Ovis aries: one gene and its partner. The protein of the gene in region 2 interacts with the protein of the main gene of each other region in a pairwise test. Links are inferred from orthologs where the notes say so. Each region holds a gene or a part of one and is shown on either strand. Other genes may lie near its edges. The genes, in order: DDX6 and VPS52.

What was found.
Region 1: the proteins of VPS52 (region 2) and DDX6 interact in binary tests that used the Homo sapiens proteins (3 or more experiments, as listed by UniProt). The two-hybrid records come from large-scale screens. The link is inferred for Ovis aries from reciprocal best matches to the Homo sapiens genes VPS52 and DDX6.

Annotation. Positions count from the first base shown.
Region 1 is NC_056068.1:29,110,756-29,118,688, forward strand, and holds part of DDX6 (probable ATP-dependent RNA helicase DDX6), read right to left. Parts: intron 2,691-7,933; coding exon 2,561-2,690; intron 1,686-2,560; coding exon 1,539-1,685; intron 1-1,538.
Region 2 is NC_056073.1:7,593,447-7,602,132, forward strand, and holds the start of VPS52 (vacuolar protein sorting-associated protein 52 homolog), read right to left. Parts: upstream 5,621-8,686; 5' UTR 5,608-5,620; coding exon 5,518-5,607; exon of another isoform or gene 5,435-5,517; intron 4,711-5,434; coding exon 4,626-4,710; intron 4,474-4,625; coding exon 4,421-4,473; intron 4,245-4,420; coding exon 4,169-4,244; intron 3,980-4,168; exon of another isoform or gene 3,976-3,979; coding exon 3,908-3,975; intron 3,618-3,907; coding exon 3,442-3,617; intron 2,843-3,441; coding exon 2,692-2,842; intron 2,399-2,691; coding exon 2,298-2,398; intron 2,225-2,297; coding exon 2,092-2,224; intron 1,970-2,091; coding exon 1,912-1,969; intron 1,552-1,911; coding exon 1,418-1,551; intron 992-1,417; coding exon 836-991; intron 384-835; coding exon 265-383; intron 3-264; coding exon 1-2. Other genes in the region: RPS18 (small ribosomal subunit protein uS13), read left to right, coding at 6,015-6,017, 6,487-6,585. UniProt on the Homo sapiens protein: Acts as a component of the GARP complex that is involved in retrograde transport from early and late endosomes to the trans-Golgi network (TGN).

The DNA of each region.
Region 1 (7,933 bases), on a different chromosome or scaffold from region 2:
ATACCAGTTAGTTTCACCTCTGCATGCAGTGGGCTACAGCTTTCCAATTCACCTGTTCCAAATAAGGAACATAGTTTTTTGTCTGAGGGAAACCCCCAGGGAAAAACAAAAAGTATGCCGAACTTTTGATATAGCTGCTGCTGCTAAGTCACTTCAGTCGTGATACAGCAGCTTGCCTCTAATAGATCAATGGTCTGCAGAAGACTGTAACAGGATCAAGTAAGATGATCATTTTTAATTAACAAGGCAGTATAAAGAATATAGTAATTAAACTAATCAAGTAACAATCATATATAAAATCCTGACTAAAATTCAATGTATAACTAAATGGATTTCAACTCTTGCTGTTTTCTTTTTTTCACTAAATAATGTTATCATGGAGAACTCTTCATGAAAATGAATACAGATCAGCTGCACTCTTTAATGGCTATGTGGCATTCCATTCAGTCTATACCCCAGTATATTTAGCCAAATTTCCCTGATATTGTTCCAGTTTTTCGGTACTACAAACCACACTGTAGTGGACAACCTTGCATTTGTCCAATCATTTCTTCAAAAAAAGATCATTAAAAACATACATGTATAATTTTGAAACATAATGCCAAATTGCCCACCATAGAGATTGTATCAATCTATACCCCTATGTTGCAAGACAACAAATTTCTTCACAAATGCATATTCAGTTCAGTTCAGTCACTCAGTCGTGTCCGACTCTTGGTGACCCCATGAATTGCAGCACGCCAGGCCTCCCTGTCCATCACCAACTCCTGGAGTTCACTCAAACTCATGTCCATCGAGTCAGTGATGCCATCCAGCCATCTCATCCTCTGTCATCCCCTTCTCCTGCCCCCAATCCCTCCCAGCATCAGTCTTTTCCAATGAGTCAACTCTTAGCATGAGGTGGCCAAAGTATTGGAGTTTCAGCTTTAGCATCATTCCTTCCAAAGAAATCCCAGGGCTGATCTCCTTCAGAATGGATTGGTTGGATCTCCTTGCAATCCAAGGGACTCTCAAGAGTCTTCTCCAACACCACAGTACAAAAGCATCAATTCTTCGGCGCTCAGCCTTCTTCACAGTCCAACTCTCACATCCATACATGACCACTGGAAAAACCATAGCCTTGACTAGACGGACCTTAGTCGACAAAGTAATGTCTCTGCTTTTGAATATGCTATCTAGGTTGGTCATAACTTTTCTTCCAAGGAGTAAGCGTCTTTTAATTTCATGGCTGCAATCACCATCTGCAGTGATTTTGGATTACTAATTAGCCTTTCCAATCTTAATTAATCTTGTCAATCAGATAGGTACAATATCAATTTACTGTTTTTATATGCAATTTAAAAAATTACTAGTAAGGTTAAATATCCTTCCAATGACTAAAATAATTTTTTTCTTCTTGACTGAAATGGTCATTTCCTTTATTCATTTTTCTACTGCAATGTTTGTTCCCTATTTTAAAAACAATTTTAATAAATTACTGAAACACTTGTGTGTCAAATTACAGACAGCAAGCCAGCTTGTATCCAATCATTTCTTACCTGTATCATCAAGCCTCATTATGTCATCCCGTAAATTGGTTCCTCCTGTGGTTGCCATCACTTTGGCCCCTCCCATGTGTTTGCTGACCTGGATGCAAATTTGACTGACCTGTAGAGCAAGTTCTCTAGTGGGAACAATCACCATTGCTGGAAAATATCAACAAACAGAAAAAAGGAGAGAGGAGGGGGGAAAAGCCATATTTTAAGAGTTTAAGAAGCTATAGAAATATTGCCCCTTGTAATCAAGACACTCAAATGAATAAATTTCAAAAAAAGAAACTATTATAGTGTACCAGATTTAGACTTCTCCTCAGTAACAATGCTATACAATTCTTCTACTCTTCCTGGTTACAAAGCCTTAAAGGGTTCTTTGAGTTGGCAATTATTAACTCAAAATTTGTTAGTATTTTAGTAAGAGATCACTAGTCAAAATGCCCAAATAGGAAACTCCTGCTGCCCAGTTCTACTTATATCATATGAACATAATAGGAAGATGGCAGAAATAATTATAGATCAAGAAACCATGGGGAGAAAAAAACTGAAAACTTTACAAAAAGCTTTAGAGGTGAAAACATAGATCTACTGGGTACAGTTACGGAAATGTGTCTCTTCCATACTACTTAAGATTTTAAAATCCCCAAGCCACAAGGCTTCAGAGAGAAAAAGTTCCTGCTTTTACAAGGAACTCTGCAGACACAGCTGTCACAAGAAACATTCTAGTTCCAGTTCCATAGTTTTAAGTATCTATTTCAGACAATTTAATTTTCCCTATCTACAGGACAATAATTCTTATTTTGCCTATCTCACTGGAATGTTGTAGTAACTGTAAAATATGCAAAATAACCTTAAAAACTAGAAATCTCTTTTTAAAAGTTAGGAATCATTTTTACAAGACAACTAGGCCATAAGCTGTGAAAAGGGTAAATACTAATTTCATATGATTTAAGTTCCAACTGAGAAAAGATGGTAATATCTTCTATACAGCTCCAAGATTTAAATCAGCATTTATAGTTTAAACCAACCTTGTATATTGTCCTTCTTCAGGTCTAGCCGTTCAAGTAAGGGAATGAGGTAGGCACCGCTCTTGCCTGTTCCGTTTTTTGCTCTAGCTAAAATATCCCTACCAGATAAAGCAATGGGAATGCTCTCCTCCTAGAAGAGATGGAACAATGCATATTACTTGTGAATAAAATCAGTACATAGGCGAGTTCTTCTCTAAAACACACTGAAAGTATACAAAGTTCCTTGGTATTGAAGTATTTTACAAAAGACCAAATAAATTAGCAGTACCAGTCAACATCACCATTAGTATCAACTTACATTTATCAGAACTACTCATAAAATACACACTAAATTTAGTAATAAAAACCTTTGAGTTTGTATGTGTGAGCATCAACAACAGAAAAAGAGGAGGAACTTGGGCTGACACAATAAACACACAGGGGAAAATAAGCGAAGGACATTTTGCAATTAAAAACAAAGAAAAAACAGCACAAACAATATTCAAAAGAAGGACTATATGATATTCTGAGACTAGTAAACCAACTTGACCACAGTGAAAAATTGTAGGTTGGACAATTTTATTTCTACATAAACAGGACTCAGATGGAAAAGTTTAGTCTTGGGTCCTATCTTTTTTTAAAATTGTATTACATAATGACCAATGTCTGTCTCGCAGCCAACTTCTGTCCTGAGATGTGCCCTGACTTCTCGTTTTCAAATCTGGCTTACTCGTGTGTTTTGCAGACATGAGTGTTTTGCAGAAGATAATATTTCTTATTAGGGCAAATTTCCTAGACAATACCAAAGGATTCTCAACAATTACTAAATATTAAATATACATACACAGAGAGAAATTAAAAAAGGTAAAACAGGTATGAACAGAGGAAGCAGAACACTTCTATTTCTAAAACTAAAAAATTTTAATTTCTACAACTATAAAATTAGAAAAATAAATTAGGAAAAATATTCACAATCACTGTAATTAGCTCTTTCTATGCTTGAGCTAATGACCAAAACAAATATCTCTAGCAATTTAAAACTGTTACTGGAGAAATACCCAAGTCATAAGCATCATGACTTTCATTTCCTACCATGACACTTATTTTAGAACCCCAATCATAGGGGTCAGATGGGTTCCATATAATCAGAATAACTAACACTGTTGCCAGAACAACTGTGAAAATAGTTCAGTGACAATACTCTGTTAATTTACTCCGACAGCCAGCATTGAACAGTCTGCTTATTATGTAGGGTGAAGCAGGTCAAAGAAAGCCTTGGTTTGACCCTCTGGTCTTAAATCCTTCCTTGCTTGACCACATGTGTTACTCAGCCGTGTCTGACTCTCTGTGACACTGTGGACTGTAGCCCGCCAGGCTCCTCTGTCCACAGGATTTTTCAGGCGCGAACACTGGAGTAGGGTGCCATTTCCTCCTCCAGGGATCCATGTCTCCTACAGCTCCTGCTTTGCAGGGAGATTCTTTATCCCTTGAGCCACAACTCTGAGTCAACTCTATTAATCTTCAGTTGTCCCGAAGGCCAATTATCACATGGGTTCAATCTCTATTATGGTTTTTGAACAGGTTACCAGTATACAACTCAGTTTGACAGCAGAAAAAGACTTTAGTCTCTCAGTGACTTCCTGAGTCAGGTCCTTTAAAAGGATAAGATACCTCAGTGAAGTCAGACAGGACAGAATTAGATTGGGGGTATCCTAATTCCTTTTTGGGGTTTACATTATGGCTTAAAGGCCACTGACTTCTGTTTCTCTGCTCTTTGACAGGACTTATGTTCCACAGAAACAGAAACTGTTTAAGGATAGGGCTACAACAAAGTAAGCTAGCTAGCCTGTAAGGTAAGATGCACTGTACTTTGTCTCATATGGTGGCTATTATGATTAGCAGTCAGAGAATTCAGTATATTCACTGTCTCTTATCACTGTTTGCTAGGAAGATTAAACAATCCGAAGTGAGGAAATTCAAGCCAGATTCAGACAGCTTTGAAACTCAAGAGAAGTCATGGGGAACTGCCAGGGAGAAGGAGGAAGGAAGCTAAAAATTTTAAAAACTTACTGTGATGGGTACTACACTTAGATACTTAATGTTAATTATATCCTTTCAAGTTAGGTTACTTTTTGTCTTACAAATGGCAAAATGGATCCTCAATATTGTTTTGCACAAGGTGATTAAGCAAGAAATGCTAGAATCAGGATTTGAACTTAGGTCTGCAAATAAGAGAAACTGGAACCTCATACACTACTAAGTAGAATATATAGCCATTTTGGGAAATAGTCTGGCAGTTCCTCAAAAAGATAAAAAATTACCACATGAACCAGCAATTCTACTCCTAGGTATATGCCCAAGAGAAATGAAAATACCTCCACAAAAAATTCTACATACATCAGTGTTCAAAAAGGCATTATTCATAATAGCTAACAGTGGAAACAACTCTACCAACTGAAGAATGGATAAACCAAACGTGGTATAGCCATACAGTGGAATATTATTCAGCAATAGAAAGGAATAAAGTACTGACACATGCTACAATATGGATGAATCCTAAAATATGCTAAGTCAAAAAGCCACAGCTGAGTCACAAACAGCATGTATTTTATAATCCCATTTATATGAAATTGTCTAGACTAGGTCAATCCATACAGACAGAAAGTTGATTAGTGGTTGCTTAGAGCGAGGAGGGGTTCTGGTGGCTCAGAGGTTAAAGCATCTGCCCGCAATGTGGGGGACCTGGGTTCGATCCCTGGATCAGGAAGATCCCCTGGAGAAGGAAATGGCAACCCACTCCAGTATTCTTGCCTGGAGAATCCCATGGATGGAGGAGCCTGGTGGGCTACGGTCCATGGGGTCGCAAAGAGTCGGACACGACTAAGTGACTTCACTTTCACTTTCAGAGCAAGGAGAAGAAGGGTAACTACTAAGTTTCTTTTTGATGAAAATGTTCTAAAACTGACTGTAGTAATTGGCTGCACAACTGAATAAAAAAAAAAACCCACTGAACTGCATTACTTAAAATGTGTAAACTTGTATTTCTGTGACCAATACCCTAAGGCAAAAAACAAGCAAACAAAACACCACCAGAACACAAAAACCCAAAATAAAAAAAATCCCACGAACTTAAAGGTATGTCTGATTCTGACACTTTAGCTCTCCAAAGTCCGTGTTCCAGTTCCACTGTAAGGTCTAGGGACTGAGCCACTATGTATTTATTGTGCTTTAATAACCCTAGCATCCATTTCCCTTTCTTTGCTGTTGGTTCAGCCACCCAGTCCTGCTCGACTCTCTGTGACCCCACTGACTGCAGCACACCAGGCCTCCCTATCCCTCACCATCTCCCTAAGCTTGCCGGAGCTCATTCCATTGCATCGGTGATGCCTCCGGCCATCTCATCCTCTTGACACCCCCTTCTCTTTCTGCCTTCAAGCTTTCCCAACATCAGGGACTTTTCCAATGAGCTGGCTGTTCGCATCAGATGACCAAAATACTGGAGCTGCAGCTTCAGCATTCAGGGCTTCTCTGGCGGCTCAGATGGTAAAGAATCTCCCTGCAGTGCTGGAAACCAGGTTTCGATCCCCGGGTTGGGAAGATCCCCTGGAAAAGGGAATGGTTACCCACTCCAGTGCTCTTGCTTGGAGAATTCCATGGACAGAGGAACCTGGCAGGCTAGTCCATGAGGTCTCACACGACTGAAAGACCAACACTTTCCCTTTCTTAGTAGCACCCTAAACTTTTTTCTGAGGAACTGCGTTCTCTCCAGTCCCTGATGGATAGTCTAGCCAACTTCCGCAGCTAAATGGAGACACCAACTGCTTTTTAATTCCTAGGGTCAGTTGAACTTAAATCTTGGTTTCAGAGAGAACAAAATGGATACTGCAGAGGCAGTTATGATTAAGGTATCTACTGCTCCCTAGAAAAAAAAGGAGATGGAAGACAGTAATTTCAAAAATAGTTATCTCCAGCCTAAGGAATATACTCCAGTTTTACCACAGTATCTAATGAAGACATGCATTTTTGAGAATTTAGGAAAACAATTCTTTTAGCCATAGTAAATTCGTGTTAGCAGGAGGAATGAATTACAAAAGAATTAAGAATGTTCTAATTCTTAACTATAAATTTGATAAATGACTAACTAGACTTGGTTAATGAAATAATTCCTCAAAATAATGAGATTCCCAACTTGATATGAAATTTGGTTGCCAACAGAAGTTAACTTCTGTTTTTCTCTCAATAATTAACTACCTGCTATTCCATCACCTTCTTATCTATAAAGTCCTCAAAAGTTGTGCCTAAAGTCTGGAAATAGCAAGAGCTGTCATCTTTCAATCATCTCCAAGTTAATATAAGGTTTTGCAATGTTTAACAGAATAAAACAGTAGACTCCTAGGTACGCCAAAAAAGCCTGTTACTATAGAGCTATGCCTTTAAAATGGCATGGTTATGTTACTGTGCATAGCATTCAGACCTAGAACTAGAGTCACAGATGGCTGTACCAAAGAAAGATGTGTGGAACCAATCTGTAGTGTATCTGGTTCCAGTTTGTTGGTGTAAAGTTATATACTCTCAAAAGAAGATTTTAAGTGCCTAATTTTCCAATAATCTTATACCATACCCAAAGTGCAACCAAGTTTCATCTCTAAAGGAGGTGACACCCATCAAGAGGCTTTTATATTTGGAGGGGGAAAAAAATGCCCGGATAACATGGTAAAACTAAGTACTACATAAGACAACAGACACATTTTGGCAGGGGGGTGGGGGGTGGGGTGGAAACAATGACAAGAAAATAAGTAAGGAGAAAAGGTAGATAAAAACAGTAGAAGAATGCCAGTCATGAGGCTGGATTTCACTAGAGAATCTCTTATTACTTAAGTCCTAATATTTATGGTTTGTTACACCGAGTCTAAGAAACATGTTATCTTTTATTTTCCATGGATTCTCAGACAAAGCAATACTACAGGAAAAGTCAATGTGAATCGCAGTCTCAGGTATATATAATACCTTAGATTCATACTGTGCTTGCTATTTCAAAATACACTTTGAAGCACTACAGATTCATTTCTATCATTGCAATCAAGTGAGTCACACAAATATTTTTGTTTCCCAGGGCATACAAAAATTACGCTTACACTATACTCTAGTCCATTCAGTGTGCAGTAGCCTTGTGTAAAAAAAACAACATACATACCTTAATTTAAAAATACTTTAAAAATACTAACCATTATCTGACAACACAGGGTTGTCACAAACCTTCAATTTGTTTAAAAAACAAAAAGACAAATGCAGTATCTACAAAATACAATAAAGCAAAGCACAGTAAAACGAGGTATGTCTGTACATTACATTTGGTCCTCACAAAAAAAAAATCCTGTGAGGGAGTTAATTTCT
Region 2 (8,686 bases):
ACCTGTGGGCTTGATCAGAATCAGAGATCTGGCAAGGAATGTCACGGGTGGGGTGGGGGAGGCTGAAACCTAATCGAGGGGTGACCACCAGTGGAGGCAGGAGTGGGTGTGAGAGGTGAGTCTGGAAGCAGCAATACTGCCTCCAAGCAGACAAATGGGACCAGGGTCAACAGTTCACGTCGGGGGAGCCCACGGGTCCGGGCAGGCTTGTGCAAGACCAAGACTTCAAGAACAGCGGGGCATCAAGGACCACAACTCAGCAACCTGTCCAGGGCAGGAACGTCCCGCTTGGCTGTGATGTTGCGGAACCGGAGGACGATGTGGATGCAGAGGAAAACAGCAATGGCATCGTAACAGTCAACGAGGTAAGACTCCAGGTGTTTCTGTGGTTGAGGATTTAGAACCAGGCAGAGGGTTGGAAGTGTCTCTTCCTTTGTCACTCCCAGTGACCATGGACAGGTGCAGTGCTCTTTGGGGACATGACACTTGGGGGTACAGGGAGAGATCTAAATGGAAAATGCTCCTCCTTTCCTGTCCACCAGCCACCCACGTGGTCCCGCGGCCTTGCTCACCTAATCTATCATCACAAGCCCATCACAGCAGAATTCAGGGCCGGGAACCAAGGTCTAGGAGCCTCCAAGTGTTCAGGTGCTATTGCCTGGGTGTGAATCAGGAGGGGGTCCTCAGGGACCCCCAAGCTTTGATGGTCTTGTGGGGAGGCACACAGTGAGAATAAAGCTCATGTGTTCTAAAACGAGGGGGTCCTGCCTTCAGTGCCCCAGGGCTGTGACCTCACTGCAGTGCTGACGAGGAGCCCGGGAGCCAGGGAGCTCACCTGGGTCATGCTGAGAGTGCGGCCCATGACAGCGTGGAACAGGTCGTGGGCAGCCTGGCCGGACACCACGAAGAACTCACAGATGAAGAGGTATTCACGGCAGGAATTGTCCAGGAGGGCGTAGTGCTGGCTGCGGAAGAGGGCCTCGAAAGGATACTAGGATGAGAGAGGCAGGAAGAGACACAGACGGGTGGACCCCAGTCCTGGCTCTCTGTGGACATAGCTGGAACATCAGCTCAACTGGGTACCAGTAGCTCAGAAGACCCTCCCCATCTAACCCTCATTCAGGCTGCGAAAGGGCTTCCTGAACAGGTACTGAAGGGCAGGGGCGGGGTGGGGAGGAGGGATACACGAAGAGCCCACCCCCACCTGCTGTTGCTGCTCCCGCATTTACCACCACACCCGCCTAATGACCTATTACCCTCTGTAACACCCCGAGTCAATGGTCCAACCCTCCTCTCATTGCAGAGTGCAGGGGCAACTGGAGATGGGGACTCCCCCAGGGCCTGCAGCCGGGAAGCTCTGCCCCAAGTTCTGTGCTCAGAGCCCCACCCCGAGGCTGAGGCTGGCTCTCCCTCCTACCCTCTGTTCCCCTCGCTGGGCAGTGTGGGGCACGAGGATGGGGGCTTCCAGCTCAGCAGGAGAGATGACAGAGCCCCGGGTCCCCAGGGTGAAGATGGTGTTCCTGCTGCGGAGGGATGGCTTTGAGAAGAATCGTGAAGGGCCAGAGTCAAGGGAAACAGATCACAACTGTGATGGAAGATCAAAGATCCAGGACCTCCAGGGGCCCCAGCAGCCAGACATGGCCTCGGGGTCCCTCCTCCCCAGTCTTGGGGCCCCACTTCACCTGACATCTGTGAATGGACTCCAGGGAGCCTCTACACTCCCTGACATCATACGCAAAACTCAGTGTAAGGATGATCTGTGCATTTTTCTGGGGAGGGAGGCTCCTGCCTTGATCTCATTTGCAAAGTGTTGGTCCCACAAGAAAAGTTAAGCAGCAGGGCCTTGGAGGCTGGGGCCAGAAGCCCTTCCCTCTCCAGGCCCAGCATGAGCACCCCTCAGCTCCAGGATATCTTTCTTGGCTGTATCTTCCACGCCCATTAGGTCATCCTTCTCAGCAACTTCCTCATACTGGAGGAGAGAATAGAACACTGGAACACTGCTTCCCAATGTACAACAAAAAAAGGCGTCCATTTATACAGTCCCTCCTCCCAGCTCAGGCGCCCAGAGCACCTCTCCTTCCACGGGCTTACCTGCACCTTCATGAGCCGCCCCAGGTAGGAGCGGTAATAAGACAGGTATATCTTGCTCAGCGTCTCCACATACTCGTCCCTGATTTCCTTCGCAGTGGCGCGTTCGTTGCCCAGCAGGAACTGATAGAAGAACCTGGAGGAGCCAGGAACCAGTCAATCTCCCAGCCAGCCCCCCAGGGACACCCACCCTTTCTCTGGGTGGCGACCTGTATTTCAGCAGGGCTGTCTGTGGGATCTGATAGTTGGTCATTGGCTTTCTGAAGGAATAAATCTTCTGAAGGATGAACTCTCGGATCTTCGTCACGGCCTAGATGTGGGGGACCAAACACAGGGCGTGAAGCTGTAGCCTTCTCACTGCCTGGGAAGCACTGAGGGGAGGAACAAAAGCTGATATTGGATGAGCAAGAGTAGAGAACTCCTCTTTGATATCTGTTAAGACTTTCAGAGAAACCCAGAGATGTGAGGATGAGCCCTGCCACATAAAGGCAAGGAGAAGTTCTTGGGGGTGGGCTACAGTGAGCTTTGCCAGGGCAATCCAGGGTAGAGGTCTAAGGGAGGCTGGTTCGAGTGGTTTCTAGGGTGTCCACCCCCACTTCCCACCTTGACTCGGAGGCGGTCGAGCATGCCCCGGACATCTGCACAGGCCGCTGTGCCTCTAGCCTCCTGTTCTCGGACTGCAGCTGCCTTAGCATCCAGCTCCTGTAGCTGCTCCAAGAACCGGGGCTCTGTGACTGGTGCCTCCAAAATTGCCCTGGGGAGCAGGGAGGGGTGGGACGGGTGAGGAGGGAGACCCAGACACCTCGAGACTCTAACCCGTAACCCCGGCATCCAGCTTCTGTCTCCTCTCCCTTCGTCCACTGCATCACAGGGTCAGAGCGCGTGCACAGAGTCTTCTGTGCCTGGACACACACACCTCCATCACCCACATCAACCTTAAACCCCTTCTCGATGCCCAACCCCAGACGATTCCTACTCCTTAAAGCCCGAGTCAGGGTAAAAAAGAGCTGTCAACTACTCATCGTTTTCTGGAAAGTGTGTGATAACCTGAAGCCGGGAGACCCACGTGGTTAAGTAGGGTAGGTCACACCAGCCCATCTTCTTTCTGTGATGTTGCCCTTTGTTATTCAATCACTCAGTCGTGTCCAACTCTTTGCAGCCCCATGGACTGCACCATGCCAGGCCTCCCGGTCCCTCACCATCTCCTGGAGTTTGCCCAAGTTCATATCCATTGAATCTGTGATACTATCCAACCATCTCATCCTCTGTCTTCTGCCTTCAATCTTTACAAGCAGCAGGATCTTTTCCAATGAGTTAGCTATGACATTAGGACCCTTCAAACTAGTGACTCACGTGACCAAAGCAGAGGGCACCACGAGACCATCAACAAGCTCCCCGAGTTTCCCCCGGACAGCCTGGCGGTTCCGCAGTCGGATGTTCATGGCTCCAGACTGTTCCTGCAGTGTCCGGATCTCAGAGCTGATGGAGCTGAGATCGCTCTGAAAAGCTCCCAACATCTGCTCCATGCGCTGGGAGAAGGCAGAAGGGCTGCTGAATAGCCACAGGATTGGCAGGGGACAAGTTTCTAGGTAAAGCCTCTAGTATCTACCCAACTATGAGAGCAGTGGGTGATAAGGAAAGAGGTGCAACAAAGGCAAATAACAACGTTAGTCATGGCAGCAACAACTAAAATGGCTGCTGAGATCATCCTGAAAGTGACTCTAACTGTCCCTGCCTGAGGAAGATGGCCTAAAGAATCATGCTAAAGACCATGATCTGCACTCAGGGATATGAGGGCTCCCAGGGCATGGTTACTAACCTCAAGGACAGCATCGCAGGCTGTGATCTGATTGTGCAGAGATGCTATGTTCTCACTCTCTTGGATATCTGACTCACAACAAGTCAAGGGGCCTCACTGTGGACATGGAGATTCTCAGACCGCCGCAGGACCTCTCCAATTTCTCCCTGAGGTGGCAGAAACCTCAGAGAGGAGACGGCGGCCCCAGCTGGGCTGTCAGCACCATACCCCCACAAAATGCCCGTTTTAATAACAGCACCCCTCTCCTCTGCTGGAGGATACAATCCCGAATGGATTTCTGCTCAATCTGCTGTAGCTCCAGCTCAACCTGCTTTGAATAGTGACGAAGATCCACACCCTGGGAGAACAGAAATGTGAGAGGGTCAGGAGGAAGTCAGTGAAGGGACACTGGAACACAGTCAATGAAGGACTAGAGAAAAAGACCAGGGTGATAGTAGGAGCAAAAAAGACTTTCTTCTTTCCTTTAAGGGGAGGGTTCAGGGAGGGGCAGATTAGTATAGTGGAAAGCCTCACCGTTTTAAGAGCTTCCTTTACTAACTCATCCTCCAGATTCGCCTGAATGTGAACTGCAAATAGAAGTTCATCATAAGGATTCAGCTAGTTCTACAGATCTGTCTCTACACTGAACATCCGCACACCAGTCCCTGCCTTAGTGCTTGCAGAGCCCAGCCTCTCAGGTTATAGGACCGCATACCCCCCACCCCTTGCCATCACTTACCATCCACTTCATCCAGGATGAATTCATCAGAGGTGATGTCCAACTCTCCCATCTGCAGTGGTTCCTGAAGACCTGGACCACTCCCCTGGAGAGGAACAGGTTAATGGGAAAGACAGAAGCAGAACAAAATAGAATGGAACAGTCACCAATCCTTCAAGCGGAAAAGGGGGACTTTCACTGGGGAATCACAGGTACATTCTGAGTTCACAAAATGTCAAAAGTTCCATATTGTCTCAGTCAACTAATTGGGGCTGATGGATAGGAACGGGACAAGGAGACAGGCAAACTACGAAGGGTGAAGGTAACCAAATGAGAAAAAATAGGAGATGCAGAGGGCAGAGCAGAACTTGCAGGTGAATTTAGGATCTCTAGACTGCTGCTACCTTAAATGTTCTATCACCATCCCTCTGGGGCGCCCCAACCTCTTTAAAACTACCAGCTAATACATAGTGTTTACCTACCTGCCAGGTGCCATCTTACATATATTCATTCACCCAGTCCTAACCCACAACATATATAGCAGGTCTTACTTTTCTCACCTTATAGGTGTGGAAATAAGGGCATGGAGGGGCAGGTTAGACTTGCCCGAAGACACACAGTATACGCGGCAGAGCTTGAGTTAAAGCCCAAGCAGAAGCCATGTTCCCAGACTTTTATACTGCTTCTCTATTCTGCCCAAACATCTGGAAGTTAACTGCAATTGTGGCCCCAGAACCAGAGTCTCGGCCGTACTCAGGTTCAGGTCGGATCCCACGGAGGCGTCTGGAGAGCCAAGCTGGGTAGCATTACTGGCAGCTGCGAGTACCCACCCTTGTGCCTACACCCAGCCCAGGCCTTCCTGACGTGAGGCGACTGGACAAGACTCTGAAGGAGAAACAGCCCTGCTTCTCACCAGCGGGCCCTCCTCCTCCTCCATATCTGAGGCCCCGGCCCGCAACACCAGCTCACGAGCAGCTGCCGCCATGGTCGCAGCGGCGGCCATTCCGCGCAGCCTCACTTCCGGCAGCTGTCAGCCAGGCGAATCTGTTCCCCGGAAGGGAACTACAGGTCCTAGCGTGTCTTGCACGGTGCGAAATCGCTCCCAGATATTTGTTTGCCTCCAGTCTTCCTCTTTCGGCTGTAACCGCTTCACCCAAGTGAAAATAAGTGGAATTCTTAAGCACAATCTCAATCCGGAACCTTTGTTGTTCGCACACACAAAACCTTTACGAACAGTAAAGAAACCCCGGACCGGAAGTCGTGCCGCCCGATTCAGAGTCTTGCATAGTTTCCGGAAGCTCCTTGCTCAGATAGCTCCGCCCGTTCCGCCTGGTAGCAATATAAGGCTGTTGCGTCACTTCCGTTTTCTCTTCCACTGGAGGCCTACACGCCGCCGCTGGGGCCGCCGCCATGGTAAGAGTACAATCCTTGCCGGGATCTAGCAACATCGGGACCGGGGCAGGGAAGGTCTTGCTGTCAGAGGGTTGAAAATGTCCTGTCTTGAGGGCCCGCAACTTTCTGGGTGGAACCTCGGATACCGCTTCTGGAAAAGGACAACTAAAGGCATCCAGTTCTGGGGACTAGGGCCAGAGGAAGTCCCTCCCCGGGCACTAGAACGGTTTGGGCGTGTGTGAGGACCTGTGTCTCCGGCACTCAGAGTGTACTTGGGGCAAGGGTAGGAGACACGCTTCTTCCCCGAGGTTGCGTTTTCCCAGGGCTGAACACTTCATGTTCCTGCTGTCTGCAGGACTCAGGAGTTTGTTGTGTCGTGAAGACCTGACGGGGGTTTCTTGCTCCCTGTGTGACAAGCTTAGCGTTCGTGTTTGAGGTTACGGTTTGATAGTAGTTCACTGTCTGATTTCTCTCTCAATCTCTTTATCAGTCTCTAGTAATTCCTGAGAAGTTCCAGCACATCTTGCGAGTACTCAACACCAACATCGATGGGCGGCGGAAAATTGCCTTTGCCATCACTGCAATTAAGGTAAAGTAGGGTAACGACTGATGGCTTCCTTGGTGGCTCAGATGGTAAACGAATCTGTCTGCAATATGGGAGACCAGGGTTTGATCCTTGGGGTTGGGAAGATCCCCTGGAGAATCTCCTCCAGAATTCTTGCCTAGAGAATTCCAATGGACAGAGGAGCCTGGTGGGGCAACAGTCCATGGGGTCGCACAGAATCAGACACGACTGAGCGACTAAGACACGCAGGGTAAGGACTAGAGACTATAGATGAAACTTGAGTTGTCAACACCTGAGCTGAAAGTGAGGCAGGTTGAGGGAGTTCCAACCAGATGACCTTGTCTGCTAGGTTGAAAAAAAAAAAAGAATGATTAAGAGAGCAGTTAGTCCACTTAACCGCTGGCCCCATTTGTCCCAAAAGGTAAGTGAGAAAAAGCCAAAGAGTCCTCTCAGGTCAAACCAAGAGATTTCACCTAGGGAATGGGGAAGTTACATAATTGTACCATTTGAAGGATAAGTAGAAATGCCAAGAGATTACAAGTATGAAGAAGCCTATAGTTGTCAGTGAATGCAAGCTTGGCTATCTCCCTTAACCTAATGAACTCCCAGCCTTCCAGATAGTGATGTTATCCTTTAAAAAGATAAAATTGTGGAAATGACCAAATGTTTTTTGCCAGTATGTTTACACTTCTTGGAGCCAAGGATAGGCTTTTCTTAGAACCCCAGAAGACACTATGATAAGTATTTTATAGATTGTTTAAAACAGCAAATCAATATCAGCTTTTCTTGGTGAGATTTGTCACAGTTACTTTTTAATTCTGTAATTCAAGGAGCACAGCTTTCATTTTTAAATAGTACGTTTCGTCTTTTCATCTTTTTCTGTGAGACTAATAAAGGCAGTGAAAAATACAGTTCGGGCTCACATTTTATGGGACTTTGCAGATACTGTGTTTTTGTGGCAGCTCTTAAGACAGTTCTCCCACATTTGCTCACATGGTGTGTCTGTCACATTTTGATGAAATAACTTTAAAAGTTTTTACTGGTGTATTTGTTACACTTATCTGTGATCAGTGACCTTTGTTACTATTGCAAAAAGATTTAGACTTGCTTAAAGTTCAGATGATGGTTAGTACTTCATAGTAATAAAGTGTCTTGATTAAGGTGTGTATAGATTTTAAGAGGCTGTTGCTCACTGAATAGATTATGTAACTACATGTGCTGGGAAACCAAAATACCATGTGCTGCTAAGTCACTTCAGTCATGTCCGACTCTGTGCGACCCCATAGACGGCAGCCCACCAGGCTCCCCCGTCCCTGGGATTCTCCAGGCAAGAACACTGGAGTGGGTTGCCATTCCCTTCTCCAATGCATGAAAGTGAAAAGTGAAAGTCAAGTCCCTCAGTTGTCTCCGACCCTCAGTGACTCCATGGACTGCAGCCTTCCAGGCTCCTCCATCCGTGGGATTTTCCAGGCAAGAGTACTCTTTATTTCAGTGTTGTTGGGTGTGGTCTGGAACTGAACCTGCTGTATCTCTGAGGTTGCTTCTGTTTTTAAAGATTGCTAGAATGCTTAGGTCAGATAGTAAAAAAAGTAAAAAAAAAAAAAGATGTGTGGTTGATAGGATGCTTATATTAAACCCTTTCTCTCTGCTTCTTTGAAATTAACTAGTTTCCCATTTGTTACCTTAAGTATATATCTTAACCTTAAAACAGATTTTGAAAGCAGTTTCCAGTACTTAATGAGTATTTTGATAAGAATCTATTAGGGAACCTCATGCCCTGCTTATCACTGGGAAAGATTATTCTAGAGATACAGTTACTTGGGGTTTTGCTGTGTTTCAGCTTTTGCTGGCTCTTCTCTGGTGAGACAGCCAAAGTTTAGAGGTACCTGGTCTTTTGTTAATGATTTGGAATGTGGGGTTAAGTAATACTTAGAAGTTGGAAGGGAGTGCTGGGGGTGGTGGCTGAGTAGGAGGAGGGATTCCTCAAAAAATTAAAGGAGCAAAGTTAATTGGGGAATTAACTTTGACGTATCAATGGTGACATAAGCAGAAAACGGTATTTACTAAGGTAACACATCTGCAAGATTTTTTTATGCCATGATCCCTTCTTTTCATTTGTACACTT